Linked DNA regions of Schizosaccharomyces pombe. The gene in region 4 interacts genetically with the main gene of each other region. Each region holds a gene or a part of one and is shown on either strand. Other genes may lie near its edges.

Region 1 (8,239 bases), 3.0 Mb from region 4:
CTAGGGCAAAGTAACGAGATTTAGTGAAGTGTAGTAGCGTCTCCTTCTTTCCTTTCGTTGTTACATGAGCCGCTGACAGCCTAGTAAATAGCTAACCACTGCCACATCGAAGGAAAGAGCGGTGTCAGAATTTGAGTCGAAAAACGTTTATTTACGTCGAAATTTTTCTGTCTAGAGCAGGAGAAAGTAAACAAATCTAGGGATGGCGACAGAACTTCGCAGAAAGCTCGTTATTGTGGGAGATGGTGCATGTGGTAAAACATGCTTATTAATGTAAGTAAAAATGGTGCAAGCGTCGGAAAGGTAGTAGAAGGGTAAAGTAGTTGCTTGGGCCTGTTTTAAATTGGCAAGGGTTTACATCTCTTGCTTAGCATGGCTGGAGAAGAAAATTATTTCCGTAAGCATGTTCATTGCCTCAAGAAAATAATGAAAGAATCCCCATAGAAATGAGACTTAGATGGGGTTTAGATTACATTTAATAAATGTTCCGAGGATTTAATTTGCACTCCGTACCCTGTATTTCTACTTACTCTTTGCTTGCTTATCTGCAATGTTTCACGAGTCTGTGTCATTGTTATACAACTTCTAACATTTTTCTTTATAGTGTATTTTCTAAAGGAACCTTTCCCGAGGTCTATGTTCCCACTGTTTTTGAAAATTATGTAGCTGATGTTGAGGTTGATGGACGCCACGTTGAGTTGGCTCTTTGGGATACGGCTGGACAAGAAGATTACGACCGTCTACGTCCCTTGTCATATCCTGACTCACATGTTATCCTTATTTGCTTTGCTGTTGATTCTCCCGATTCTCTTGACAATGTTCAAGAAAAATGGATTTCCGAGGTTCTCCATTTCTGTTCCAGTCTTCCTATTTTGCTTGTCGCTTGCAAGGCTGATCTCCGTAACGACCCAAAAATTATTGAGGAGTTATCCAAGACTAATCAGCATCCCGTCACCACAGAAGAAGGTCAAGCAGTAGCTCAGAAGATTGGTGCTTACAAATACCTTGAGTGTTCTGCCAAGACGAATGAAGGTGTTCGTGAGGTTTTTGAATCAGCCACTCGTGCTGCTATGCTCAAACACAAGCCCAAAGTGAAGCCCTCTAGTGGAACTAAGAAGAAGAAGCGTTGTATCTTGTTGTAAACAGCTTGTTTCCAAATTTTTTAACTTAGAGAATTTATCTTTTCTGTTTTTATACATCTCTTCAGTCGAAGCACATTCAACAAGTTTCCGTATTTTTTCGACTTATGTTGATTTTTATTTCACCTTCACCTTGGTGGGAGTTTTGCATTGTGTGGCCTATCATGTTACATAGTCATTATATCCTCTCATTCTTTCCTTTTTACTTACCTCAAGTCGTGCCATTTAGTCAGCTTGGCAATGATTTAAGCGCATTTCATATAGCTGTTCTACCATTTCCCCTCACTGTTCTGCAACGTATAGGCACCTGCAAGGAGTATGCGTCTTGTTTTCAGTCTTTGCTTACTTTGCTATACTCTTCGCTATTAGTTTGAAGAAAATTTCCCTTATTGCCTTGTTATTGCATGGTTTTATTTTTCCTATAATACCTTGTTTCTTTTGTTAAGGATTGCCATCATTATTATCCTTTCTACCTAGTCAAAGGACTTGGTAAATTTTTATAAATCGGTAATTTAAAGAATATACACCTCGATTGAAACTCGATCAAAACCCGAATATTTTATAAGCTTTCTCACAGCACGTAATTGCTTATTATCGTGGAACTTTAGCTGGGTCTCCAATTTTGCACTAGAATTATTGTAGAAAATTGAAGCGACATTATCTCTGTTGATAACCTTGCTGGTATACAGGCGCTTGGTATTTTTATACACGTTGATAGTCGAAGTAGCAGATAGCCGTAGTTGATGGTTTAAACATTTTGTATTTTGCGGAAATTTGCACACTGTTTATATCTCATTCTCTTTACGTCAAGCATACCAATGTTTGCAATTTCATGTTTTGAAGGTGACCGTTGTTATTCTATCTATGCATTTGTATTACCATTTGATTTTCACTCTGTCTACAGGCAAGATTATCAGATGAAGATATAAGCATTGTTGACTTTACCTAAAAAAAAGGATAATTGCGAGGGAGCAAATAGTGAATTAAAGGGAAAAGAACAAAGTTTTTGTAGCTACTAAAAGCTGTTTGTCTATCTCTATGTGTACCTTTTATAGTGCTTATAAGTAAAATGCAGAGTCGAAATCTTCATGCTTTAATGTAAAGCATTAGTAAGGTTACATATTACAACAGAAATGGGAATCAAAATCTTAAATCTAAAAGTTGAGAGGTCTTAACAAAAAAGCTAACTCAACTTAGCTTTACAATTTATAAATCAAGGAAACAATACTTTATCAATTGTATGTTATGATCTTCTCCAACAGGTAATTGACAACATCAAAAAGTAATATAAAGAACAAGGGGAAATTGATATCTAGATATATTAGAGAAATTAGTAGTTCAATCTCATAGAGCAGGTTGGTAGTCGGGTTGGACCGCGTGTTTAATTTATGTAAACAGTCGCGTCGCGTTGCAATTGAGACGCGTAAATAAATATTTAATTTATTACATTCAGTCGTAAACAGAGTATTTATAAACACTTTTTTTATGTTTAATAAAAGATAAATGTAACAGTTGAATGTATTGTATCAGGTCAGACCACTTCAACATGTTTAATCGCGTTTTTTTAAAAAAATATTTTTTTAATTTTTAAAAGTCGGACTTATTTTAGCGGAACTTTGATGTTCAGAAGTGAAAAAGATAAATCTATTTAGCAAGTCTTAATTAACGTCTTTTAGATATAGTAGAGCTACAAAAATGATCCGGTTTCCACTCTTAGCTTTATTTATTTACATTGATCAACATGACTTAAAGTTCGGATGACGCGACGCGGCATCACGTTATATTAGCGTGACGCGTCTGAACGCGTTTTTCATTTACTATAAATATTCCCGGTATTTACCACCTTACAAACTAGAACAAACACGATGTTTGTATACAAAAGAGGTATGAAACAGGAAATAAAATACAGTTAGAAGATTAGTAGAAATTTTGTTACAACGTTGCCGTTTCGAAAAATGTCGTGATTTTACTGGGGAGTAAATGTTTAAAGAAACTGAGATTTTTCTATTTGTTTAAGCGTGTCATTCAGTATTCACTGTTTGTTGTGTGCAGAGATGTTTAAGCAAATGTTCTTTTAGCCGTTTGCTCTACTTCCAAGTGTTCGGTTGATTGCTGACAGATTCGTTGCTGGTGGCGTTGTATTCAAAATTGACTGACTGTTGACATTGAATCGAAAAGCAATAATGTACTAACTGTATAGACGGACGTCAAGAGAAAGTGGCCTTTGACAAAATCACTGCTCGTGTTTCGAGGCTTTGTTATGGCCTTGATTCCGATCATGTTGATCCCGTCGAAATCACTCAAAAAGTCATTTCTGGTGTGTATCCCGGTGTTACCACTATTGAATTGGATAATTTAGCTGCTGAAACTGCCGCGACTATGACTACAAAGCATCCTGATTATGCTATTTTGGCTGCTAGAATTGCTGTTTCCAACTTGCATAAGCAAACCGAGAAGGTGTTTTCAACTGTCGTTCAACAGCTTCATGACTATGTAAATCCCAAAACAGACAAGCCTGCCCCCATGATCTCTGACAAAATCTACGATATCGTAATGAAACACAAGGACGAATTAGATAGTGCTATCATATACGATCGTGATTTCACTTACAATTTCTTTGGCTTCAAGACTTTAGAGCGTTCTTATTTATTGCGTATCGACGGCAAAGTTGCTGAGCGCCCTCAGCATATGATTATGCGTGTCGCCGTTGGTATCCACGGTGAGGACATTGAAGCTGCTATTGAAACATACAATTTGATGTCTCAACGCTACTTTACCCATGCTTCACCAACTCTTTTCAATGCCGGTACTCCTCGTCCCCAACTCTCTTCTTGTTTCCTCGTTACGATGAAAGACGACTCTATTGAAGGAATCTACGACACACTCAAGATGTGTGCTATGATCTCCAAGACCGCTGGCGGTATTGGTATTAATATTCACAACATTAGAGCAACCGGTTCGTATATTGCTGGAACTAATGGTACTTCCAACGGAATTGTCCCCATGATTCGTGTTTACAACAACACAGCTCGTTATGTTGACCAAGGAGGTAATAAGCGTCCTGGTGCCTTTGCAGCCTATTTGGAGCCTTGGCATGCCGATGTTATGGACTTTTTAGAACTTCGAAAGACTCATGGCAACGAGGATTTCCGCGCACGCGAAATGTTCTATGCCTTGTGGATTCCTGACTTGTTTATGCAACGTGTTGAACGTAACGAGCAATGGACCTTCTTCTGCCCCAATGAGGCTCCAGGTTTGGCAGATGTTTGGGGTGACGAGTTTGTTGCCCTCTACGAAAAGTATGAGAAGGAGAACCGTGGTCGTCGTTCATTACCTGCTCAAAAAGTTTGGTACGCCATTCTTCAATCACAAGTTGAAACTGGTAATCCTTTCATGTTGTATAAGGATTCATGCAACCGTAAGTCCAATCAGAAGAATGTTGGTACTATTCGCTGCTCAAACCTGTGTACTGAGATTGTTGAATACTCTTCTCCTGACGAAGTTGCTGTTTGTAACCTTGCTTCAGTTGCTTTGCCCACATTTATTAAAGACGGAAAGTACAATTTCCAAAAGCTTCACGATGTCGTGAAGGTCGTTACTCGTAACCTCAACAAGATTATCGACGTTAACTATTATCCTGTTCCTGAAGCTCGCCGTAGCAATATGCGCCATCGTCCCGTTGGTTTGGGTGTTCAAGGTCTTGCCGATGCTTTCTTCGCTCTTCGTTTACCATTCGAATCTGCAGGTGCCAAGAAGCTAAACATCCAAATCTTCGAAACAATTTACCACGCAGCCCTTGAGGCCTCTTGCGAGATTGCCCAGGTAGAGGGTACATATGAGAGTTATGAAGGATCTCCTGCATCCCAGGGTATTTTACAGTATGACATGTGGAACGTTAATCCCACCGATCTTTGGGATTGGGCCGAGTTGAAGGAAAAGATTGCTAAACACGGAATTCGTAATTCTTTGTTAGTAGCACCAATGCCTACTGCTTCAACATCTCAAATCCTTGGTTTCAATGAGTGTTTTGAGCCATATACTTCTAACATGTACCAACGCCGTGTTCTTTCTGGTGAATTCCAAATTGTCAATCCATGGCTGTTGAAGGATCTCGTTGAGCGTGATTTGTGGAATGAGGACATGAAGAACAAACTTGTTATGCTTGATGGATCCATCCAAGCGATTCCTGAAATTCCTCAAGACCTTAAGGATCTTTACAAAACCGTATGGGAGATTAGTCAAAAGACTGTTATTGACTATGCTGCCGACCGTGGCCCATTCATTGATCAATCCCAAAGTTTGAACATTCACTTGAAGGATCCTTCCTACGGAAAAATTACTAGTATGCACTTTTATGGCTGGAAGAAGGGTCTTAAGACTGGAATGTACTATCTTCGTACTATGGCTGCTTCTGCTGCTATCAAATTTACGGTCGACCCTGTGGCCTTGCGCGCTCGTAATGAAGAATCTAATGAAGAGAATAAGAAGCCAGTTATAAAGAATGGAAAGGCTGAAATTTCTGCAGAGCCCACTAAAGAAGAGATTGACATTTATAATGAAAAAGTGCTCGCATGCTCCATCAAGAACCCTGAGGCTTGCGAAATGTGCTCAGCCTAATTTACTGTTGCAAAAATGGATTTGTTAAATCCCATCCATGTTTAATATCCTACATTTTATTGTTTCTTTTAATGTTTTTATTCAATATTCTTTTCATTTGTCGACATACATAATTGTGTCTTAAATTCAACCTTGGTTTTCCATTCTAGTGAGCAGGCTCAGAATGGTTCTAATACATAAATTAGATTACGAATTTTCTGGAATTTTGATGTTTTCCGGGGTTTTAAAAACTCCCAATAATATAAGTTACTTTTTGTCTCTTGATTAATGCAATGCATTATCGACGTGGTATATTTGTAGACATGAGACTGTAAATTTTGTACGAGGGAAGATGTACATTCGATAAAGATACTTCATAAAAAAATTTGTAAGTGCTTCTGATGTTCCTCATTTTGTGTAAACGGGTAAGGTGGTATTTGTTTATTCACTGGTTAACGGGCTAAATTGAGGTATGGTAAATGGTTTAATATTTGTGGCATCGTAAATCTTTATAGCATGTGTTTTATTACCTTTTTCAAGTAGATCGTTTGAAAAGTGCAACTGCGTGTTTGTTAAAGAAGTCAAACCAAATGCACGCAATGGAGTGAGATAAGTCGCTCATTTGATTGTTGATAAACAGGATATCATGTAGCATGCATGACTTAAACAAATTATTTTAACCGTACGAAATTAATTAACCATTTCAGTTGAAAGTATTTTCAATAACTGAAGTACGATGTTTATAGCAATATCATTATTAGGAGAAAACTTGATATGGAAATACTTTATGAAATAGTTGCTTCAATATTACATTATGCAGGTTTTTATATTTAGTAGAATAATTTTAAAAAGTAAGTAGTAATTTTAATTAAAAAGCATGTCATCGTGATTCGTGCTGGAGGCGTACACATAAATTGCTTCGAGAGGATCGTTGAAAGGCTCAAAATAACTCGCATTTGAAGATAATAAGTTTTGAGACTCGTGTAATCATCTTGAGGGACATTTCCTGACAGTTTGATCACATAACTTTTCATCAGATAAATATCCCCTTTTCTTAATTTTTAAAATATAACGAGGATATTTTAACTGATAACCCAAATTTGCGACATTGAATTGTATTGAAAATTGAATTAAAAAATGGATGAACGACATGAAGCAGCAGGAGAGACGTCGGAAAAACCAAAAGTACTTTTCTTGCTGAATAGCTATTATGGCCCTTTTTATGATGATGGAGATAACACTGGCGTGAATGTAGTAGACTTATATGAAGCGTTTAAAGTATTTGAAGAAAATGGTTTTGACATAGTAATTGCGTCTGATACTGGGGATTATGGATTTGACGATAAATCCTTTCGAGACCCGGCGATAGTGGATGAAACACAATCAATATTTTCTAATCCTGATTGCTCTTTGATGAAGAAATTAAAGAATATCGCAAGACTGGATCGATTGAATCCTTCGGACTATGTGATTGTTTATATACCTGGAGGATATGGCTGTTCTTTTGATTTCCCCCATGCCAAAGTTGTACAGGACTTTTTGTATCGGTTTTATGAAACAAAAGGAATTATATGCGCCGTTGCACAAGCTAACATTGCCTTGGCTTACACGACGAATTCTGATGGGCAAGCTTTGTGTACGAACCGCCGTGTGACCGGTTGCACTTGGAAGGATGAAGTCCAAAATGGTGTCTTGAATGTGATGAACCGTCTTAATTTCTATAGTTTTGGTCACATTGCCGAAAACATTGGCGCCATTTTTGAATCTCCTCCTGTATACGTTGAGGACCCTTTCATTGTGGAGGATGGGCAGCTGTTTACTGGATCGAATACAAATAGTGCCAAAGGTGTAGCAATGGAAGCGGTGAGGGCTGTGTTAAATTATGATGGATGATCAAAATTTCTTTTTTGGAAAACCGATCGTGTTTTGGGATTCTCACATTTTTTTTATTTTTTCTAATGTTTGAAATGGCACCATTGGTTAATCGATAACTGTAATTATTAATTTCACGCTTATTATAAAAATTATTTTGGCATTAATTTTGTTGCACTTTTTTTTTTGTACAATCTAGAGACTTTTCGGTTTGATACCGAGTACATATGTTTGTATTTAAAGTTATATATATTCTCATGCTTTGTATATGCACAAATATACTGAAATTTGAGATATTGGGGATGTTCGTTGGAAATTATCTCTGTACGAATGGGACAAGGCGGATTTGATTTTGGAAATGAGTATAATAATCTATTAAATTTCTCTATGCAGTTTTGGGATAACTTTCGTTTTTGCATTTTACCCTGTATTTCGGGATCATCAACTACTATATCCAACTGCGAAACATAATCTATGATTTCTTATTTCAAAGAAGATAGAAAAGTCCAACTTTGAGTTTTCTTATTGTTAGGGTGTTTTCCATGCGGGAAATCGCAATCCATTCTATTTTTTTTTTACCTATTTATACCAAGTATAATGCCGAGTTACTAATGAATTCTTTTTTTTCATTT
Region 2 (9,372 bases), on a different chromosome or scaffold from region 4:
AGGGATCTAAAGTGTCTGCATTAACAGCGTTAATTCCTGATGTTACTTACAATATATCCAACTATTCTGATGAAGAAACGACTCAGTTAGCTATGGATTGTCTTGCTGTTATGGCCAAGCGATTTAGTGCGAGTCCTGAACTGTTTATTTCCCCTATTGAGGTGGTTTCAGGTCCCTACGGATTAAAGAATAGTGCACGTGATGTACAGGTATCTGCCATAGTATGTATCACCGTCTTGACCAATACTCTTGCTGCTCGCATCTTGCCTTACTTGGCCGATATAGTTAATTATTCTTTATCTATTTTAGATGATGCTAGAAAAGATCCGGAAGGCGATTTATTAGAGCTAGCATGTTTCTCTATGATGATCGACTTTTTCAAAGTATTACCGGAGTTTAGCAGCAGTTATGTCGAGCCGACAATAAAATGCGCTTTAGCTTCTGATCGTGCGTTTGAACATGATGCTATTGGTGAGCTTTTATTTGAAACAATTGCCAATTTTATACCTACTAGATTGTTGATGAAATCTATATTTGCGGCATGGCCTGAATGTGCAAGACTTGGTTCTACTGCGGCACTCCGTCTTTTAGAGTTGATTGAATTGGCATTACAAAATTCTAGCAGGAGCGCTATTGGGACTGTTTATAAGTCAATATTCAAATTTTTCTTGGATTCCTTTGACAGTAGGCGGTCGCTTTTATTTGCGGAAGACGTTGATAATGTGGAAACTCAAGCAGTTAATGTATTTCTGAAATTCGTGATGAAGTTGAGTGATACAACTTTCCGTCCTTTGTTTTTACATTTGCATTCATGGGCATTGGAAGATTTGTACGAAACTGATCCATCTGGAATAGTATCTCGGCAAACTTTTTTTTACAACTTTTTAACCATTTTCCTTGATACTTTAAAATCCATTGTTACTAACTATTATGCTTACGTTTTGGATGACACGATTGAATTGCTTTCATCGAAAGATACGAATAGTGAAGTTCGTCATCTAGTGAACAGTAGTCTCGTTAGTGCTTTTGAAAACGACACTGAGGAGTTTTGGATGGTGCCCGCACGTTTTGGTAAAATAAGCCCCGTTCTAATTGAACAAATACAATATGCTCCTTTGCTTGATGACAAGGTCCTAGTAAAAGCTATTGTCGAACTGGCTAGTGTAGCCTCATCAAGCGACAACTTTAGATCAATGAATACTCAGTTGTTGCAATATCTTCGATCCTCCAACATCAATGCTCGCTTATTAGCTATCCAAATACAGACACAGCTTTACGGGCGCCTTGGTGAGAATTGGATTTCTACATTGCCTCAATCAGTACCATTTATTGCTGAACTAATGGAAGATGATGATGATCAGGTTGAAACTGCTACGGCTGAGCTCGTGCGGATAATAGATGACCGTCTCGGTGAGAATGAATCCCTCCAAGATTACCTTACATAAGGATTGTAGAGGTTGTGGGTCCGTTTTTCACAGGCTGAGTTTTAAACGGAATCTTTCGTTTTCTAAATTTTTCATTCTAAAAAAAATAATTATTGATTCGTTATGAATATATACGCTTTCGTCTAATCCCTGCCAAAAAAAAAGGAAAAGACGATCATGTTGATTGCAATCCATAATGGGTCTTCTCATCAATGACCTTTAGGGTTGTATTCATCAATTCTCAATTATCTTGGGATTATAAATAGTTTGGTTGGTTTCGGTTTCATAATACTATAAATTAAGAGAGAAATTTTTGCAGTTTACAAATGTTTGACAGCAGCAAAATAATTTTGAAGTTTAAACCAGTGTATTAAAACCCAGTAAATTTCATTGAAGTATCGAAATATTGTATATCTGAGCGACTTCGTAAAGTGCAATCATCCTACATAGCAGTAATCTAGTGGAACGGCATACGTCTTTAAATTTGCTTAAGTCAGTTTTTGTCTAGGAAATGGTGATTTGGCCAGTTTCTTGTCGGTCTTTTATATACAAGAGATAAAATTCTAATTCCATTTATCTATCGAATTGGTAAAAAAAAGCCTCGCTAAGGACTTGTTTAAGAGTTTGCCACTTCGATGTCATAAAAACGGTCAACACTTCTCAATTTAAAATTTGTTTGTACTACTAGTGCATCCTTTTAAACAGCAACGACAGTACTAATGAAGTTTGGATGTGTACAATTTTTTCCCAAGTTGGGAAAGGTGAACGAAAACATCGTTCATCTTCGCCAGCTTTTGGATCAACATTCTGAAGCATTACAGTCTGTTAAGCTATTGGTTTTCCCTGAAATGTGCTTAACTGGTGGGTGGTCTTTATTATTAAGAAGAGTTAGCTAACTTTCCTGTAGGCTACAATTTTAAAAATTCAGAAAGTATACAACCCTTTTTAGAAAACGTAACTAGCAATCATTGTCCAAGCATTCAATTTGCTCAAGAAGTCTCTGAGCAATATCGGTGCTACACCATCATTGGATTTCCTGAGTTTCAAAACTCAAACGGCATTTCTACTCTTTACAATAGTACAGCTCTCATTTCTCCCAAAAAAGAGTTGTTGAACGTTTACCACAAGCACTTTCTTTTTGAAACAGACAAATCATGGGCCACTGAAGGCAAGGGTTTCTCTTTTGAACCCTGTATTCCTGAACTGGGCCCTATTTCAATGGCAATTTGTATGGACATTAACCCGTATGATTTTAAAGCTCCTTTTGAGAAGTTTGAATATGCAAACTTCATTTTGCGTGAGCTAGAGCATCAACAAATGGTTTCTTCGAATGTATCACGACCAATTATTTGTTTAAGTATGGCATGGCTTGTGTCAGATGATAAAGTCATTGATGCTTCCCTGCCCGACATCAAAAATTTACATTACTGGACCACTAGACTTTCACCGTTAATAAATTCGAATACGGATGCAATCGTTCTTGTAGCAAATCGGTGGGGAAAGGAGAATGATTTAAATTTTTCCGGTACCTCTTGTATTATGGAACTTTCTCAAGGAAGAGCTATCTTACATGGTGTCTTGAAAGCTGCTGAGAATGGAATTGTAGTTGGAGAACTTGAAAAATAAAGATGTGCGACGTTTTTTATTTCTATTCATGAAAACATATTATATAATACATATTGGTTTTAATAAGCCTGTTAAATTTCTATTATCGTGATGACATTCCAAATAAAAATGACAACTCCTTTGTATTCAGACGTGAAATTTCTCTAAGCCCTTTTTCCCCTAAAGCGCTATCTATTAGTTCTCTCTTTCTGTCTTGTAAGGCTAAAACTCGCTCTTCAATCGTGTTATTAGTAACAATTCGTAAAATATTTACCGGTTTATCTTGTCCAATTCTATGTGCTCGATCGACAGCCTGTTCTTCGATATAAGGATTCCAAAATGGATCGAGTATGATGACATGATTTGCACAAGTCAAGTTTAACCCGACATTTCCTGCTTTTAAAGAGATCAGTAAAACTCTCACGTTCGGATCAACTTCAAAATTAATAAGAGCTTGATTTCTTTCCGCTGTGCTTAGACCACCAGTATACATAAGATATTTTATACCCTCTTGTCGAAAGGGTACCGTAAAAAGCTCAAGAAAAGAAACAAACTGTGAAAATATTAAAATTTTGTCAGTTGGCTGTTTCTTGATGATTTCTTTAACTGCATTTAATGCTTTTTCAATTTTTGTAGAAGTGGTCCAATGTTTAGGATCCGTAAAGATCTTCATACCCATTTGTCTATTCTCTAAGATATTACTATACTGTTTAGGTAGCAATTCGGAAATGTTTTCTGTTCTTAATTTGTTATCGGCATCGACAATAGGTGCCATTCCAGAATATCGTCTAAATAATGCGTAACTCAAAAGCCTTTCAGTATCGATGTACTCCTCGCAAACTGAGCACTTAGGAGAAATATTTTCGTTGCTTGTTTGCTTAGCCATATCCTCACTGGATGTAATAACATGGGTTAAGCACTCTCTACATAGAAAATGACCGCAAGGCACAATTATCAAAAGTTCTGCAACAACATCCATACATAAGGAGCATTGCAACGTTTCAATTAACTTAAGGCGATTGACAGCCTCGGGATATATTTGGTTGTAGATTGCACGATTCTTAGCTTGAAAGCTATCGTTATCATCAACCGCTGCTTCTCGAGCAACAATTAGCCAGGGATGACAACAAGCCTGTCGAAGTCTCAAAAGTAATACTAGTAGACTACCGTAATGCGTAGTTATAGTCCCTTCTTGAAGATATTTACGCATTTGAATTTGTGCTCCGCTTTGAAGCGTATTGTAAAATTCCATCTCAGAAGAAGAGAGGTCTGTTTCAGATTTGACGGCGGTTTTTGGAGGAAGTGTCAATATTGGCTTGCCATCAATCTTTGTATTTTTCGTTCTACGAAGTAGCACTGCTTTTAATAAGCCACGAAAGCGCTTCATAGGAGCGGACGTGTTTATATTGCTACTTAAAGGAATGGTAAAGTCCTTTGAAAAACTTGACCAGTCTGAATAAGGTTTAATCCTCAGAAATTTTATCAAGCTGTAGAACTCCTCAACCCCATTCTGCATAGGGGTACCACTCAAACACCAACGATAAGTTGATTCTAATAGACAGCATCCACGAGCAGCTAACGTATTCCTGTTTTTGATAGTTTGAGCTTCATCCAATATAACTCGATACCACTCTGCTTCAAAAAATGGAAGGTGTTCAAATTTTTTTATTGGAGCGTTATCTTCGATACTCTTGTCATAAGCCATTTTGTTTTTAAACTCGTAAGCGATGACATTATAAGTAGTCAAAACAATGTCATACGACATCAATTGTTCAGCAATTTTGTGCTTTTTCGAACTTCCGTGATGAATATAAACAGTGGGTCTATGTGAGGGAGCAATTTTAGTAAGTATTTCATTATGCCATTGCTGTAATAGCGACACAGGGGTGATAATCAGAGTTGTTTTAACTGATTTAGATTCTGGAGGCCTTGTTACTAGCAATGCAAGAGCCTGGACAGTTTTTCCTAGACCCATATCATCTGCCAAAATCCCTCCTTTCTTAGAGCTTTCTTCTAATCTTTTTAACCACATTAGTCCTTCCTTTTGGTGTTCCATTAATGTAGGTATTAGTCCAGCAGGTGTACCTTCGCGAATTGTTGGATCGTTGACAAGCTGCTCATCAAGATCTTTGAACAACTCCTCCAACTGTTGTTGCTGATCATCTTGAACTTTCTGGTTATTTGAGTCTGACAAATTGAATCCTTCAATATTGTGAAATCTATCGTGATACCATTGAAGGTGGAATAAGTGTTTACCAGGTTCGGGTAGCTTGGAATCATGCAACAAACCACCCGGAAGAATGACTGAATCCGAGCCATAACGCTTATTCTGAAAATTAATTTCGTTATCTTCTTCGTCTGATAAAGAGATCGGATTATTAGAAGTTCCTTTTCCTTGAAGAAACTTATCATCTTCTAAAGTGTGAGTTGTGTTAAACATCTTATAATTATTATGATGATGAAAAGGAGGAAGAGCTAAAGAATTGGTATAAGAAGGTCCAGCCGTAGATAAAACTGGTAACGAAGGTAACTCTAGTTTTTTCCTTTTCGAATTCATAAACGCAAGCTCTAAATTCCTTTTTTCCTTCATATTAACTTTATCATGGTCGTTCAGTGAAGATTTCGTCCGAACATTATTATCATCGGATTCAGAGTCAGATACGACAATCACAGCATTGTCGTTCCAAAACAAAGAGTCCTGTTTTTGTTCAAAAAGTGCATCAGATTGACTCGGACTAAGCTTATCTGTTGAAGAACTAATTTCGTTTTGCAAAGAGTGGCCATCAACATCAATAGTAATTGCATTGATGTTTGGACGATCAAGCCCAATTTTAGGAGCAATTAAAGTGGCATCCGTGTAAGTAGAATCATTATTTTCAACGGAAAGAGAACTGTTCAGCTTCTCTTCATTAGGCTTTAATGCAATCACACTATTGTCATTAGGAAAAAGGCCATTCACTTTTTCTATGTTAGATTCCATCGTATTTAAAGAGGACGATGAATCATGCATAAAGGCATTGAATAGCGCCTGTTTTCGATTAAGAAAAGCAATTCTCCTTTCCATTTCATGTCTGTTTATATCATTTTTTAACAATTGGTCAGACGATGCAGAAGAAGAATAGTCCGGGGTATTATTTTTATTGAACCCAATGTTATGTTTGTCATCTAAAGGTATTTGTTCACATGGATTTAACGTAAATTGTTCAAAAGCTGTATTATTTCTCATAAATTAGCAAAAAAATGCTTTGTGTTTAAAATGTAGTGTGTAATTTTAGGTAGGCAAACTGGTGTGGTGATACTCAGTCGCCCCAAAAGTTTAGAATAAGTACCAAATGTAAGTTAACAAGGGTAAATGTGTACATGAATTTGTGATCATTCGAAATGGAAGGAAAGAAATTAAATTTTTTAAATCATAAAAAATTCTTATTATAATAATTTCTGTTTTGGGAGAGTTTTATAAAAATGCTGATCAGTAAACCTGAAAGAAATCAAAGGGGTATTGAAGAGTCATCTGTATACATATTTTATAAAAACAGAACTGTGAAACTTTTAAATCCTTGAAAAATGTTAGTAGCGAGATGAAAATGGACGGAATAAATAAATAAATTGAGAGCATTTTTAACCCAGTTCTAATTTGTCATTGTAGTATTAAAAGCGATTTTAAAAATTTTTGATGTTTCTTGCTTAGTTTCCCAAGCAGCATTTTGCAAATTTTCTAATTAAACGTTTCAAATAGCTTAAGCATCGTCCGTGCAGTATCAAAGCAGCTGTAAATTGTTTTAATAAACAAATATTTTAATTAATGTTTTTATATGTTCTACTTTCTTCTAAAGTTGTTTCCCCCTAAATTCAACTAATCTATATGAATACTGTTACATACCCATGCATTTTAAGCTATATGGCTTTACTTAATACCTAAATTTCTTTTTTTTTTTTTTTTTTTTTTTTTTAAATTAAAAATATTCATTACCTTTTTCCTAATTACTTTGTCTTTAAAGTGCAATGCGTAGGTATTGATAGCAGAACCAAATTTCAAAACTATTATTATTTGTATTTCTAAATTTATAATGGTATCTTTCATTAAAAATTGATCAAGTAGTGTCGCTTGAATTCTCTTTAGCGGCTTACTATTCAATATTTATATGACTGAGTGTTGGCGCTTAACCTCTAATGTATTTAGCCAGGTGGATACAAAGACAAACAACTGTATGAAAAATGAAAGTTTATAGAATTAATGGAAACGGTGAAAGCAAAATTTAAGCTGTCTCTAAACCTACAAATTCGCATTTTTCTTTTGCCAGCACCATATGACGCATCCGTAGGATCTGCACATTTCAAGCAACGTAAATCATTTACCTCATTTTACTACTATGACTGAAGCGATGGAACCCTGCGCAGGAATCCAAAACTGCATAAGAAAAGAAATTCAAAAGACATAATTAATAACATGGTTGCACAAATAAAATTCAAAAAAATACTTATGTAAATGAAAAACCTTAAAAAAATCAATAATTTATAATTGCATAAATAGATTGCCTAACAATGTGCTGATAGATAAGTCAACTTACCTACGCTACAACATCGAAACCCCGTATTTGAACAATTCCTTTGTTTCCTTTGTCCTTGTGCTTATATTATTTCTCATTTTCTTATATTTTAATTGAGCTACATATAGAAAGTAATATCGAGGGAATTGCGTCAAATTTGAGTTAAAAATTGCATTTTGATTTTGAAGTTAGCATTTCGCTTTTTTTTTTTTTTGAGGTCTTTTATTTTAATATTTTCTTCTCTTTCTTTTTGCTCGTAGGTTTAAAGCGCAATTGCTGTTATTTTGATTGCAGTAGACTCTCGTGTTTACGTTAATTGCTATATTCGTTTTTCGTTTCTGCGTTCAGCGATACCCAAGTATCGTTGTTATTCCTTCTGCCGTTTAAATTGAACTTTCTCTTCCGTTTTCCTTTAGACATTGCATATTGTGTGCATTTTACAAGCATACATTTTCACTTTTGAGTTGACTTTTCAATTAATTTAATATATTATCATTAACTGATAATTCGTTTGCAATTAAACATTGAAAAGTTTTTTTTCCTTGAATTAGATTTTTTTTTATTAAAGACACCTCTTTTTTTTGGAAACTCCTAATTTATTATTTGAATTTCTTCTAGACTCTTTATCAGTTATCGAAGACTTACTACTTAACTTTGATTCATATTTTTTTACGTTTGGATCGTTGAGTTAACTAATTGGCCTAGTACCAACTAATAATTTTCTCTACCTTCGTTCATTTCACTTTGTGTTTGATCGACTACAATCCAGTTTGTACTTTTTCTTGGACAACTAACCGTATAAGTTATTTCCGTTAACTCACCAAAGTTATTTTAAGAGTTTGTGTTTTGTATACACAGTACATCATCTCATTTTTGTGGTGATAATTAGTCCTTTTGGCGATTTATTCATTGTTTCATCTTCACAAATATCCATTGTCGAAACTTTCATCTAACTTAGTTCAGCCTTCTGTCTCTACCGTGAGCATAGTGTGTCGATTTTTTTTGGTTTCTAGTATAATCCACTCTTTTATTAATTGCTAAAATTTTTAAAATGTCTTCCTCACCGACTGAGTCTGAAATTTTACCCAAGGAATCGCATAATTCGATAGACGAACAAAGCCAACAACCAGCTAATACGGATACTTTGGTTAAAGATAACTCCTTCAATGAACAAGATGACCAAGAAGTGGACAATGATTATAAATCAAATGATGAACCCGTACAATCTCAAGATCCGATTTCTCCAAATATGGCATCCAACGAATCTGGAAATTCCGAAAATACTAGCAACTATGGCTCATCAAGAGATGAAAACGTCTATCAAAAAACGACGCTTTGGATGGGTGAATTAGAGCCTTGGGTTACTGAAGCATTTATCCAGCAAGTTTGGAATACTTTAGGAAAGGCAGTCAAAGTAAAGCTTATTCGTAACAGGTACACAGGCATGAATGCTGGCTATTGTTTTGTCGAATTCGCATCTCCTCATGAAGCTTCAAGCGCGATGAGTATGAACAACAAACCAATTCCTGGTACAAATCATTTGTTTAAACTTAATTGGGCCTCTGGAGGCGGATTACGTGAAAAGTCTATTTCAAAGGCCTCAGAATATTCCATATTTGTGGGAGACTTGTCACCCAATGTCAATGAGTTTGATGTGTATTCTCTCTTCGCATCTCGATATAACTCATGCAAGTCGGCCAAAATCATGACTGATCCTCAAACAAATGTGTCAAGAGGATATGGTTTTGTCCGTTTTACGGACGAAAATGATCAGAAATCTGCATTGGCAGAAATGC
Region 3 (7,211 bases), 150 kb from region 4:
GAACACTAGACGCAGAAATAATGTAATAAGCAAATAAATTTAAGTAGTAAGATTCGTATCACATACTTAAACATTCCATACTTCAAGCTTGGGAATAGAAAATGCAAAAGACATGACCTGCATGCCGATAAACTTGAATAAAACTCAAATGTAATAGTTGCGTCAATTTACAAAAATGGTAAGACGACGAGTGAAGGGCTAGTATCATGAATAACAGATAGAAACTTATAATAACAGGATGTAATAAGTTAAAAACAAAGTCGTTAGGAAAACAAAAATTGAGGATTTGCGTTCCTATCGTGACAAACCACTTGTGTGGAAACACCAAAGGTGGATGAATGTTTTTTTTCTATCGATAATAAGTTTAAAATAATCAGAATGAAAATGTTAGAAGAAAAGAGAATGAAGAAACTTCAAGTATACAATTTTAACAGATTATACACGCCATAAAATGAATCATAAAAATGCTAACTCTAAAAAAGAGTAAAGGTAGTAAGCAAAATGCCTAAAATCTTACCAAAACGAGGATAAGCGCAACGAGGCAAAAGAAGGCGAGCCACATCCAAATTGAAATTCCTCCATTCTTCGAAACATTCTTTAATCGAGTCATTGTCCCGCTCAAAAGTGACTTGGTCGAGTCAAATGAGTCGTTCATTGACTCCATCAACTTAGTAGAAGACGTTATCTCAGTCCCAATATTCATAGTAAGCTATTAAAATTAGTTAGCATGTTTTTCCTGATGATGGCAAAAATCTTACCTCTTTCAAAGACTTGACTTTTCCAGTTAACTTTGAAATCCGTTCATCATTTTCATTTTCCAAGGAGTCTAAATGCTGAGGAGATTGAGACTCATACAAGGGCAACATATCGCCATTGCGTTCTTTTCTTCTACCGAATCTAATGATTAGTTAGACATTGATTGATCAGATTTAGTACATACCTTGATCCCATTCTGAAGCTTTTTTTAAAATCTTTCCCTTTACCGAATATGAAAAGTATTTGGTGTAGCGCAACTTCCAAATCCTAAGATCTCTTTGTTATGTATTGGTTTTGTGCGCAAAGTCAGCTCATCAAATAACATGCGACGCAACTCAGGAGTTGCGTGTAGAGGTAACACATTGTTGTACTAAGTGACAAATCTCATTTTGCTCTGTTTTTACATTAATCTAAACAATTTTTTTTTTACCGCAGACGAAACAGAGATGATAGTTATGGGTTTAGTAAAAATAAGTATAGATCCCTTCTTGAGCCTGTAGAATATTGAATTTGAGCATCAATTTTGAATGATTTTTCTTTGTGGTGCTGATCCATAATGTGTTACTGGGGCAACTGTAATGTAAACAAATCAACGTGCTTTGTTTACATTTGTAGAAGTGAAATACCGGTGGTTAAAATACCACAGAAAGCAATAGATATGATAATATGGCAAATCGATGGATATTTTTCTTTGCTACAGCCGAAATTAAATAGTATGTAAAACTTGATGATCCAGCGGTCAACTCCAACAGAGCTAATATTTTTTACGCTACTTGCCCATAATACAGTGTGAAAAATAGCGATCTATTTAATCGATGAAATTTATCATTTATTAATGAATTATTTCTTATGCAATTGATATTATATCTTTTATTGCAAAGGTAGGCAATAAAGACTGGTTTAGAGCCACGCAAATGATAGTGTAAAAAAAGAAACATGCTCCTTGTGTATATTACTTCTAGCAATGGAGGTACAAACTTTTCAGTTTTGAATAAAAACGGAATGTAAGAACCAATGGGGAACGAAAACAATAAAATAAAATTCTGGGAAGAAGAAATTTAGAAATGAATAGCACGACTGACTCAATTCTTTGGCAAGAACTTGACCGGAACGAGCTGAATATAAACAAACAGCACGATTTAAATTTTGTCCTCTAATTATGTCTTTTCAGTAAAGCATGTATGAGGTTTACACAATATGTCTATTTAAAAAGAAGGCATTAAAACTCAACTTCTAGGCAAAATGGAATAGCTCAAAACAATAGCTAAACCTCAAAGTGTATTAGTGTAGCAATCCGGCCATCCATAGACAAAAAAGAAAGCCAGGAATTATTAAAGATATTTGTGGAACTTTAAAACGTCAACAGATGGTTTGGAATTTAAGACTAAAAGACGTAGTGTAAGAGAGGAATTGATGAAAAGTAAAGTCAAAAAATCAAGGAGCTGGTTCTTCATCTAAAACACGCCTCAGTTGAGCACTGTATTGAGGTTGCAACGAAGATGGAATGTATTCATAATCTTTGTTGGGAACAGGAGAACGAAAGGAGAGAGGAAGAGGTGAGGGAGAAGCACATTGAACAATATTAGTGGAGAAAGATTGTGGAGTCTTTGGATTCCGCTCAGCAGGTAAGGGAATGGATGAATAATTAGGAGTAATGGGATTAACCGGTTGAGTTTGTGACACCATAGGAGATGTAACCTGTGGAGGTGCTGTAGCAGAAGCGGCGGCAGCAGCAGCAGCTCGCTTTTGCTAATAATAGTTAGTCAATCGAATTTTCAATCATTTGTTAAGGTTAAACTAACGTATCACCTTATCATTTTCTTTTCAAAACTTACGTATTTTAATATCATCCAGTCAAAAACATAGTCATACTGGTATCCTTTACGAATAAGTAAATCACGAAACAGCTTTCTCAAATAAGCATAGTTTGGCTTCTCGGTAAACGAAAGCTGACGAGTGTAACACATGTAAGTGATAAACTCTTCGGGAAGACCTTTGCAAAGGACTTCCAAAGGAGTGCCAATCTTGGTATCACGTATCCGTTGATACTTTTGCTCCTTTGTATCAGCTTGTAAGCCTTGCCAGGGCAAACTGCCGCGACAAAAATAAAGTAAAACATAACCTAACGATTCGAGGTCATCACGGCGAGATTGTTCAATACCAATATGGGTGTTAATACTAGCATATCGAGCCGTTCCCGTAAGATTCTTATTATCTCGATATGGAATATGAACATGAGTTTTAAAATCCCTGTATTTTTTCGCCAATCCGAAGTCAATCATCGTAACAACATTGCTGTGCTTCTTCATTAAAAAATTATCAGGCTTAATGTCTCGATGTAAGAATGACTTGGAGTGAACATATTCAATGCGACTGATGAGTTGATCAGCAAGTAAAAGAACCGTTTTAAGAGTAAACTTTCTTCCACAATAGCAGAATAAATCTTCCAGAGAAGGGCCTAATAAATCCATGACCATAGCATTATAACTATTGGTTACACCGAACCAGCGAATTGTGGGTATGCCAATATTTCCTTTAAGAATATTATACACACGAAACCTAAATGTTAGAAAGAAAAAAGAAAAATAACCAAATGGAGTAACTTTTGCTTTTCCTTTTTGGTTGTAAAACATCGAGCTACGGTTGATAGATATAAAGAAGAAATTGGAGTTCCGAAAGAAATCCAACTTATACTTAAGTAAAAAAATATTAAAGCACTACTTACTCATATTCTAACTGATGATGACGAGCCTTTAAAGGCTCCAATTTCACAGCAACTTGTTCTCCATTTACCGTATTTAATCCCAGGTAAATTTGACCAAAGGAGCCAGAACCAATTTTTCTACCTATACGATATTTATTACCAATCTTAATGTCAACAACCGTCATTTTGCTAAGATTCTAATTCACAGAGATGACTGTGGTTGTTAGAATCGCATCATCACAGAAATCAAAGAGGAAGGCAAATAGAGCGCTGCAACGAGCTATATTTGGAGTAGAAGGATGTTTTGAATACATGATATATACAATGTAATGTGACTAATTTTTTATTTTACTAAGCAATACTTCAATGTCTTTGTTTACTTCCCTCGTCAACTAATTTTTTAAGATGCTCGTTTCTAAAAGAGTGGAATATTTTATTTAATGTTTGTACCATGATTGCCTTAAGGCTGTGGATGTTGATTGTTTCTTTACATGAGACTTAATAAATTTAGTAAGCAAAGCGAATTCAAATTTGTTGGTTCATATTTTTGCAGTGACTTCTACTGAACGCGGATTTTTTTTTTTCTTTTCCGTTAGAATAATATTTGTTTATTCCGAAGTAAGCCGTTTGTGATGTGGCTGAAATGTCACGGAATCATTTGCTCCAACAGATATTTTACCCTTCAATTGTTTGTGCATTACATTGTAGCATGAAGTACCTGAGTGGGAGCTTGTTCTGACTTTCTTCCGAAAAGTACAAAATATGAATGACATGTGGTTTTCTAGTGGAAAGAAAAGAGGTTTGGATTAAATTTATTGATACAAAAAGCAATAATGTTTTGTTTACATTATGAAGAATGTGGAATTCTAGCATATTTTTTCATATCCTCAAAGAGAATCACTTCAAAGTGATTTGTTTTGTAAACAAAGCAAACAAATCCAAAATGATTTTCTATGAACGTTCAGGATTTTACTTACAGAATCATATTGAACTGCTATTCTCTTTCAATAGTTTTTCCGATGATTCTTTTTTGGAGTGAATGCAAAAAACGATCGCCTACATGGCGAAGTAGTATTGAAAACGAAAAATGCTAATACTGCTTTATTTTTAGTAAAAGCCTCAGTTCTAGAGAATACAATACCAGCTTCAATATAGAAGTGTATACTAAACCTTCTGTAATACGTTATTTTACAGCTTTTGAAATCCGTGCCCAAAGATCTGCTTAATTGGAAACACAAAATAGGAACAATATGTTTGAGGTACTTTTTCTGAGGATTATCAAATTATCTAGGTAAATTAAAAGATTACAAAATGAGCGAATTAAATGACGACTAAGTACATAACTTTTCAGTCAAAGTGAATATTTATTTCGTGCAACACATGTATTCCTAAAAAGCATGGAAATTCATTTTTTCCTTCTGTTTATTTGAAAAGTTCATATTTAAATATACATTTAATACTTTAATTTAAATGATTGATCTCCTACAAATAAATTCGATTGATTACAGAACTTTTGATCAATTGTAACTGCTACAAAAACAAGCAGTGTAATTTCATTGACTTCCATTAAATCACATCAAAAGGGCTGAAACATTTTAGGAAGTGAAAGACATGAACTCGTCATCAACTTAATGATCACTTCCGTACTTTCCAGCCTTTGGGTTTCTAGGATCATTGCGATACTCCGCAGCTACATAGAGTTAAAAAATTGTTCTATTTCTATTAAAAACGTACAATCCATCATAGCATCACGAAGCTTTACAGTACCATAGAATACGATGGCTCCTGTCAAGACATGTTAATAATAATTCAAATCGTTGAAAAATATACATACCCCCTAGAAAAAAAGGAAGCATAGGTTTTAAAATAGGAGTAGAATATCTTTTAAGGCCAAAGAACGACATTTCTCTGATTCCGATTTCTGTTTAAATGGAGATGGGAGTGGAGAGGTTAAGTTAAAGGCAATCACTGGGAGTCTCAATATTAGGATATGTCAACGATGTCGATTTCTAGTGTATTATTTTTTTAATTTTATTTTCTTTTAAAAGAATTCTAAAATAATAAAAAAAATTACTCTTTTTTGGTAGTAGCTTCAGTCTGATGGAACCAAATTTTGAAGTGCTAGTTAAATGGACATGCTAAATTAAAGTTCGAACTTACACAATTACATCCATAACACATATTAGCGTTTGTTTTTAAATTCGGGATTAGACTGATTGACTGAAGACAACCTTTCGCAGTTACAGTCGAGTCTCTTTTAACTACTTGAAAACAGTAAGAGAATTTTTTCTTTTTTCATCATATGACTTGTTGTTCGTTAGATAGCATGAAAATACAAAACTCTTTGAGTCAAACTCGCGTACTCTATGAAACATTTTGGTGAGTAGTCGGAAATCGACTGCCCTTTCATCAATTTGTAAATCAAGAGCTTCTGAAAAGGTAATTAAATAATATATTTATCTGTTATTTATATACTTTTACATTGAAGTTTAGTTATCTATTTATTAAATTAGTACATGTACATAAGATAGAAAGTAAAAATACGAGAATCCTTTGCTTAACGATTTTGAATAGACCAAAAATTCAACTGTCGACAAACGCGTAAACTTAATATGTTAAAAAAAGAAACGTGCCAAGGAAATTATCCTTCTAATTCTTTTGCAAGTCCTACACGAGATAAAAACATGGCTTCTCGCTTTTTCAAACACTCATCCCAAGCTTTTTCTAAAGAGCAGGAAGACCAAACCCCTTTGCATATTTGATGAAGAAAGGCAACAAAATTACAAACACTCCGAAGACGAGCGACACAATAAGTGCAAGAGGCATGTGATGTAGAATCAGGTCGAGAACGAAATTCGAATTGTCGTAAAGGCTGGGTACGGTTAAACCCACATAAAGAGCAAGGTTGTGACGATAGGAGGGAAGTAGAATGAAGCGGGTTGATGATCAAGGATGATTCTAATATAGCAGTGAACACAGATCGACGTGTTAGCCATGATAAACCTGAAGCATGATCTAACCGTAAAGTGGGTTCAATGTCTTCTTCTAAACAACGTTTAAAAAAGGAGAAGTCACGTAGATTTCTTGATATTAAAGGAATTGAGTTAGAAGAAGAACTAGGATTTTGCGATAGAGTGGATGATCTTGCAGTAGATGGTGTAACAGTGTTACGTGGAGGAGTGTTAGAATAATTTGCTGATGTTGAATATGCACTTCTTGATCTCGCAAACTTCATAGGATAATTAAAAAAGGCATGAAATTCAAGAAAACACGGATTCATATAATTCATGGCAGAGGCGGAAGGGTGAGTTGGGTGGGGATTATGAATAATAGATGACGAAGGGGAATCTGAAATAATTAAAGGGGATCTAGGAGGAGATGTACTGCTAGATCGAATCTGAGTAGAAAATCGAATTAACTGGTTTTGATTGTTATTTGTGCGATGACCGAGACTTGAAGCTGATCGACGTTCGTCGGAACCCTCGATAAAAGTTGGATTGGGAAATGTAGCTGGCCTTTCTCCTGATATATTCAAATGTTTATCACTTGAAATTTCTTTAGCATCTAAAGATTCACGAGCACTCGTTCCAGTTAGAATGTCAAGTCCACTAGTTGATGAAGCAAAACTACCAACAGATACATTATCGGCAACGAAAGAGGTGGTCCTTGAAAGTGGTGGATGCAAGGCATTATTTTGTTCGTGTGAGTCGGACATGGAATGCATGACATCCTTCAGTTCCGTCAGTTGATG
Region 4 (6,551 bases):
ACGTTATCTTCCCAAGTTGATTACGAAAGTAGAAGAAATTGTTTACGAAGCTGGTCTTCAGAAAGATAGTATTGTTATGCGTATGACTGGTTGTCCAAATGGATGCTCTCGTCCATGGGTTGCTGAAATTGCGTGTGTCGGTAAGGCACCAAATACTTACAATCTAATGCTTGGTGGAGGATTTTACGGTCAGAGATTAAACAAGCTATATCGCTCTTCCGTTCAAGAAAAAGAAATCCTCAATTTGTTGCGTCCGCTTATCAAGCGTTACGCCTTGGAGCGTGAAGATGGTGAACACTTTGGTGATTGGGTTATTCGTGCAGGTATCATTACAGCTGTTGAAAATGGAGGAGCTAATGGTGCTGTTCATGAAGGGGTATCACCTGAAGCGTTTTAGACGTCTATTTTAGTCAAGGTTGGTGGTTAGATGTTGACTATTATAATTGTCAAAATGAGTCTGTTTTAGTATCGCAATGATTGTTGGTTTTAGATTAATAGGTTAACATAGTGATTTGTCATACGATATCTATAAAAATTGTATATGTTATCAACTTCTTATATTTAGATTCAAAGTACTTTAAATCATATTTCTTTGTATCAAATTATAAATTATGGTATCGACTTGATCTTATGTTACTATATCCAGGATTTTCTTAGTAGCATACTTGGATTTAAATAGACGTATTAACTATGAGAAGGAATATAACAATATTGTTGACTACCAAATGTAAGAAACGAATGAATAATCAGGCTTTGCTCAGAGTTTCAGTATATCTTCAAGAAATTCAGACAGTGTGAATACAAAATATAAAATGGCTCATCATGGCAAGTTGCTATCTATTAAAACGGTCTATTTGAGATTTACTGAACCAAAAATGTAGCACAATAGTAACTATGTAAAATCTAAAATCTTAGTTAATACTTTAGATACAAACAAAAAAAAAAAAGACAAAATTTAATGCTAATCAAGTATTTCAGTAAGACACGATAACAACATGTGAGTTACAACTTCATTGTACAGTTGAAGCATTGTAGTAACCCATTTAGTCCGCCCGTTGCGTCTTAGGTATCATCCTTAAACTTGAAAAGCAACCTAAAATTTTTAACTTACCTTATGGGAAATATATTAAAATACAACTTTTTAAAAAATTAGGATTCAACTCTAAAAACGTCAGAAAAAATAACAAAAAAATAAAGAAAAAAGAAGTAAAAAAAATCATGATCAGACAAGGCTGAAACTTAAAAAATAATATAACGAATTCAACATGAGGAATTCAGCTGTTTTCGTCGTTTTATCATCACAATGATTGTTAGTAGTAAAGCTACAGGAACTTCTGTTTTTAAATTATGCTTACCTGTATAAGCTATTTTAAGAACATTAGCAATCTTTAAATTAAATAACTTTGATTGTTATTAACAAGTAACCATAATTACAAACCATATATACAAGGAAGCTGAGGTTGCAATTTAAGAGTTGAGTATACAAAATTGTGACTGCTGTCTTTAACGAATTCAACATTTCTGCCATAAAATCGCTTAAGTCTCACTATTATTTTTTTAATGGCAGTCGAGTATCTTAGTCTTTTCATTCGAAGTAAAGGAAGCGTTTGACAATTTTAGGATAAAAAGCTGTTATAGATATAATAAATATAGGATAAAGTAAGTGATATTGCTGAATATAAGACTTAATTTTATTTGCAATACTATTGTAAATAATTGTATCAATTAATAACATGATAAGGGCGGTTTATTTTTTTTAATTTCGCAAAAGACAAATTCTCCAAATTTTTTTCATAGAATGATGCTAAATAACAGAATACCCTTGCGGTATAGAATATCTGGGCATAGGTGGTGTTACAAACGATAAATTGGAGCAAGGCCTGATTCGGCATCAAAAATCCAGAAATTATCAATGGGGAACTGCTTCTTGCTAATTGAATTCAATGCATCTTGTGAAACAACCCCGCCAACAACGGACATAACCGGAGTCCATTGAAAGCTGATATTGGAAGAAAATTTTCTAAATAAAATTAGTAAAAAAGTGATCAAGTAGTCAAAGTAATTCCGTTTACTTACGATAAAAATTCTCCATTTAGTACTGTTTTCTCGTTCAGCTTTTGCTCGATGCAAACTTGTCGAATCGAGTCAGGATCTGATTTTTTACTTTTTAATAAAGCTAAATTAACAATTAGCAACTGTAAAAATTTACCAACTTCATCATATTTAACCTTATTGAACTCAGTTAATGACTTACATAACATCGCTGGATATAATGTAGGAATCTTTTTTGCTAACCTGGGTTTTAGTGTTTCGCCCAATATGCTTTGAAAGGCTTCCTTCATGGGTTTTTGAACAATAAACATATCCTCTTCTACTTTAGTATTATCAACGACTCGATCACTAAAAATGTAAGCAAAGGTGTTGAAATTGAAGATCACTTAGACAAGACTTACATTGCAAAATTGTGGTTAATCAAATCACAAAAAGCGAACCCATAAAGACCAAAACAGCTAGTTGCGTAGAAACTGGCATTACAAATTCGGGTTAATTCGTTTATTCGGCAGAACTCTTCATAATCAAGTTGCGTCGCAATAACCATGCTGAACTTTGAGATTTTTCCTTCGTCAATTTCAGATATCAGAGACGTATCTGTATCAATTTCTACTAAAGGGTTTAATTCATGTAACTTTTTCTTGAAGACATTAGCGCGGAGCTGGCCAATGTCTGAAGCTTCTATAAAAAATTGCTCCTCGACATCCTTTTCATAAACAGTCATTGAATCTAATACACAAAGTTTTCCTATTCCAGATAATACCAGGTTTTTCGCTATTTCATTCGCTAATGGAGAAGCAGTTATTAATAGGACGCGGGATTGCTTTAGTCTATAATTTTGTCAGAACCCAGCTATCATGCGTAAATTCAGCCAACTTACGCTTGTTGAGCATTAAAGCCCCAGAGCCTAATCTGTCTATCGTATAAAGCTATTTCTTCAGCATTAATATTGTGATTCCCCATGTCCTCTTCTTAGGGGTTAGTGGACTGAATACAGCTATGTCTATCGTGAATCAGATATAAGTTGGGGTAAGGTAGTAAATATCGAAAAGGCAGATTTAGCTAATCGTCTAACAGTGTTTAATATGGAAATTAAATAACAAACGAGTTCATTACTGATACATTATATAGAGACTTATGGCCAAGTCAAGGATGTTTGGTAGAGGCATTAATTCACACCATATTCTTGGTAATTGAGAAGCGAAACAGCGTTTTCAATGTTATTCTACATAAAATAAACAGATTAGATTAAGTAACAAATAAGCAAATCTATAGCAATGTGGGAAAGGGAATACTAGAATCTGACTAAGAGTGCTGAAATTCATCAAGTGGGAAAAAATAAAATAAATACCAGTGGTTCATGGATTTAAAAGCAAAACGTATAACATCACGCAATCCAATTCTAATGTGCGGAAAAAATTTTTGAAGAGTAAACCTTACTAACTGAATGAAACAAATATTAGGAATTTTTTCGGTAAACAAATAGATAAGGGACGTGAAAACATAAAGAAAATGTTATTATTCGGGACCAGTTTCGGCTTCCAAAATTCGTACAGCTCGCTGACTTTCTTCTTCCTGTAAAGTGGCCTGCAATTCCTCCCTCTTTCTTCTACTTTTTTCTTTGTGCAAATAAAACATGCAAAGCATTAATAACAATCCTTGAAGGCATGCGCTGACAATATACATCATGTACGTAGTCCAATTAGTACCGGGCAACCTGGATAGTAAATATCCGATCAAAAATCCACCCGGAGTTTGCATCATCATCATTGGGATACTAAGGGCACCATGGCTTTGATGGCGTATAGTTTTTATGATTTGAGGAACATACTGAACGACCGCGCAGAATGAAGCGCTAAATCCAAGGAATGCTGCCCAAGCAAAGTTCGAACTAAGGACGGTTGCGGATAGACAGATGATAAACAATCCCCAAGTAAATACACCAAGTAGCCCATAAGATGCTTTTCGCCATTTACGACTTTTCGTTACACTTAAAGGCTCAGGGATTGGTAAACCATTTTCGTCATCTGCTGCAACAAAGTGAATAGGTCGAGGGAGAAACATCCAGAAAGCCATAAGAACACAACCCATAATAAGTACCTGAGAACCCACTTGAATTAAACCGGTTGTGTTAGCAAAGCATTGCTTTTTGGAATAGTAATTTTGACAGCATTCAGTTAAAGGGCTAATTTGTAGAGCAATGACATTTGAGAACGCATTAAGAACACCTATGTAACCCAAAATAAGGTAAGAAAAACTTAAGCCTTGCGAACTTCCGAGACGAACAATGCGAAAGATTTGTAACAGGTAAGAAATGATGAGGCCTATGATAATATACACTGAAAAGATAAAGCTAGCTTTTGTTGCCAAAGGGCACTTCGGTGGTGTATCATCATCAAAAATGAAACTGCTCGTGCTAAACTCCATCGTTCATACGTACTTCGTCTCCTATAATAAAATCGTAATAAAGAAATGCAATACGAAGTTAATTTCTAATGCTTTGTATAAAAATATATAAATAAACGATGCCTGGGCTGCCAATAATGGTACGATGAAGTAAAGGTTGCTAACTTTGGGGCTTATTGAACAAGCGTCACTAAGGAAAGACAATTTAAAATTTCCTTTTGAAATAATTGGTGTTTAATAAATAAGTAAAAGGAAGAATCGCCAAAAAATTGGATTTTTCATTTAATTTTGTCGAAAATGGGGAAAGGAGAGGCAGTGTAAGCTACATTAGTCGGAGGGCTTAGACACAAAGTTGTGAGCTGTAACGTATAATATTGAAATTTTGCGATATTTAAAGTGCTATAAATTTGACATTGGAGAAAATAAATAAGTAAATAAACAATGAATTATAGAAGAAGATAAAAGGAACTGAATGAATTGTATATCTTAATAAACTAGGTAAATTTTTTTCTCTTTTAAAAACATGAGTGAAATGAAATGGCGCTACACATCTAAAAATTGAAATACATCAAGACACTTTACAAAAAAATTTCTAAATTGAATCTAAAATCAAGTTCTTTTGTTTTTAACCCCATTATCTTTTTAAAGATTCTAAATAATCTAAATTAATCGTTTGAACCAAATTTTTTATAGGATATATAACTACATATTTACTTTTTAAATTCTTTTTCATCTTATCATTAAATTCCGAGATTTTTTATTCCAAACAGCAGCTAATAATTATGAAATAACTTAGTTTTTAATTCTCTTATCTTTCTTGAACTTTTCGTCATATTGCAATAAGGATACAAATAAAAAAAAAATTTATTTTTAAAAGAATCTAAGCTTGAAAAGCCATACTATTTACTCTTTTATTGATTTCGAAAATTATTAAATTAAAACCCACTAACTAACCTGTTATTGTTGACATTAAGTATAAAATTTGACTTGGCTGTTCCGTAGCTAATTGTATCATTAATGAAATGACCGAGTTTGCTAAATTAACTCGAGTATATTTTCCTGTAAAGCTTATATTTTGCTTAAATCTGACTCGTTTAACAGCTAGTTTTATTCAAGTTAACAAACATACATTTTTCGAACAGTTTGGTGCAGTCTGCCAATCTTGAACTTGGTAGCAGACAGGATGCGTAGATTATGAAACATTCTAATAAAATTTCAAATGGAATAAAGCCATTATGTTGAATTTCAAGCTTGTTCTATGGTTTAACTACTTTCCATTTTCCTTCTTTCATCAGCTACTAAACAAAAAAATTACCTTATACTTTACTAATATGCTGAAGCCTTCAATGTTTGGGCATGTGATGCAGTGGTAGCATGCTCGCTTTGCATGCGAGTCGTCCTGGGTTCAATCCCCAGCGTGTCCAATATTTTTTTGTAAACTTAGCTACTCTCAGCAAAAATTAGGCCATTCCAATCGAGAGATTTCTTGTATTATATAGTTTAATGATAATCAAATCTCGATGACTCCTCCTTCCCATGCGATGTGGCGCGTTTTTATCCCAGTTGTCATTCCTTGAAATGTTGTGTATAAAACTATGAGTAGTAAACAAACTGTTGTTACAGCTGTATGTTTTTTAACACCCAAAAACCTATCACTATCAACAACTCAAAGAAAAAGAACCCATCTTTAGGAATGCTTAGTAATTTAAGAACGGTGAGAGTTCATGATTTCTTTTTCAGCGAAAAAGTTGTTTGTTATAGAATTACTTTACCGAGATTAAACTTCGTAAAAGCGAATGAAAAGTAAAACAAGCGAAAGTATATTAAGGATATGCGGCGGGATCTCACTGTAGCACGATAGTCTTTACTCACTACTACCACTATTAAGTACGGTGCTTTTTGATCATCAATAAGCAATTCCGTCTGTATCTAAATTACTTTTGTCTGTGTATATTTAGAAGTCAAAACTTTTTGTCATAATGTCAGAAAATTACTCGTTTTCTTTGCGTAAATTTAAGTTGGTTTTTCTCGGTGAGCAGTCAGTTGGCAAAACATCGTTAATTACACGATTTATGTACGATCAGTTTGATAAT

What was found.
Region 1: of rad31 (region 4) and cdc22, changing one enhances a phenotype caused by changing the other (phenotypic enhancement), as found in Schizosaccharomyces pombe (one study listed by BioGRID).
Region 2: of rad31 (region 4) and rrp2, changing one suppresses a phenotype caused by changing the other (phenotypic suppression), as found in Schizosaccharomyces pombe (one study listed by BioGRID).
Region 3: of rad31 (region 4) and hhp2, changing one enhances a phenotype caused by changing the other (phenotypic enhancement), as found in Schizosaccharomyces pombe (one study listed by BioGRID).

Annotation. Positions count from the first base shown.
Region 1 is NC_003424.3:4,223,978-4,232,216, forward strand, and holds cdc22 (ribonucleoside reductase large subunit Cdc22), read left to right. Parts: upstream 1-2,992; 5' UTR 2,993-3,004; coding exon 3,005-3,023; exon of another isoform or gene 3,024-3,339; coding exon 3,340-5,756; 3' UTR 5,757-6,012; downstream 6,013-8,239. Other genes in the region: Rho family GTPase Rho1, read left to right, coding at 203-273, 605-1,142; hsp3105 (ThiJ domain protein, glyoxylase III), read left to right, coding at 6,873-7,628. UniProt on the Schizosaccharomyces pombe protein: Provides the precursors necessary for DNA synthesis. Catalyzes the biosynthesis of deoxyribonucleotides from the corresponding ribonucleotides.
Region 2 is NC_003423.3:3,836,520-3,845,891, reverse strand, and holds rrp2 (DNA translocase/ SUMO-targeted ubiquitin ligase E3), read right to left. Parts: upstream 6,324-9,372; 5' UTR 6,256-6,323; coding exon 3,133-6,255; 3' UTR 3,051-3,132; coding exon of another isoform or gene 2,332-3,050; 3' UTR 2,286-2,331; coding exon of another isoform or gene 2,144-2,285; 3' UTR 1,787-2,143; downstream 1-1,786. Other genes in the region: U3 snoRNP-associated protein Utp10, read left to right, coding at 1-1,445; protein N-terminal amidase nta1, read left to right, coding at 2,144-2,285, 2,332-3,050; splicing factor Cxr1, read left to right, coding at 8,628-9,372.
Region 3 is NC_003424.3:1,045,469-1,052,679, reverse strand, and holds hhp2 (serine/threonine protein kinase (CK1 family) Hhp2), read right to left. Parts: upstream 3,683-7,211; 5' UTR 3,646-3,682; coding exon 3,482-3,645; intron 3,316-3,481; coding exon 2,592-3,315; intron 2,506-2,591; coding exon 2,191-2,505; 3' UTR 1,544-2,190; downstream 1-1,543. Other genes in the region: SNARE protein Bet1, read right to left, coding at 506-709, 759-897, 941-951; atp18 (F0-ATPase subunit J), read right to left, coding at 5,089-5,150, 5,195-5,245, 5,295-5,364; guanyl-nucleotide exchange factor Sec2, read right to left, coding at 6,102-7,211. UniProt on the Schizosaccharomyces pombe protein: Involved in DNA repair. May regulate the activity of protein(s) involved in double strand break repair caused by gamma rays.
Region 4 is NC_003424.3:1,194,923-1,201,473, reverse strand, and holds rad31 (SUMO activating enzyme E1-type Rad31), read right to left. Parts: upstream 3,084-6,551; 5' UTR 3,016-3,083; coding exon 2,933-3,015; exon of another isoform or gene 2,883-2,932; coding exon 2,454-2,882; exon of another isoform or gene 2,401-2,453; coding exon 2,255-2,400; exon of another isoform or gene 2,177-2,254; coding exon 2,077-2,176; exon of another isoform or gene 2,021-2,076; coding exon 1,855-2,020; 3' UTR 1,741-1,854; downstream 1-1,740. Other genes in the region: sulfite reductase beta subunit Sir1, read left to right, coding at 1-397; SPOM_SPAC4C5.03 (multispanning membrane protein, CTNS/PQ domain protein), read right to left, coding at 3,571-4,479; Rab family GTPase Ryh1, read left to right, coding at 6,438-6,551. UniProt on the Schizosaccharomyces pombe protein: Could be involved in a ubiquitin-related process important for DNA damage tolerance. Acts in a process which is defective in the checkpoint rad mutants and which involves hus5.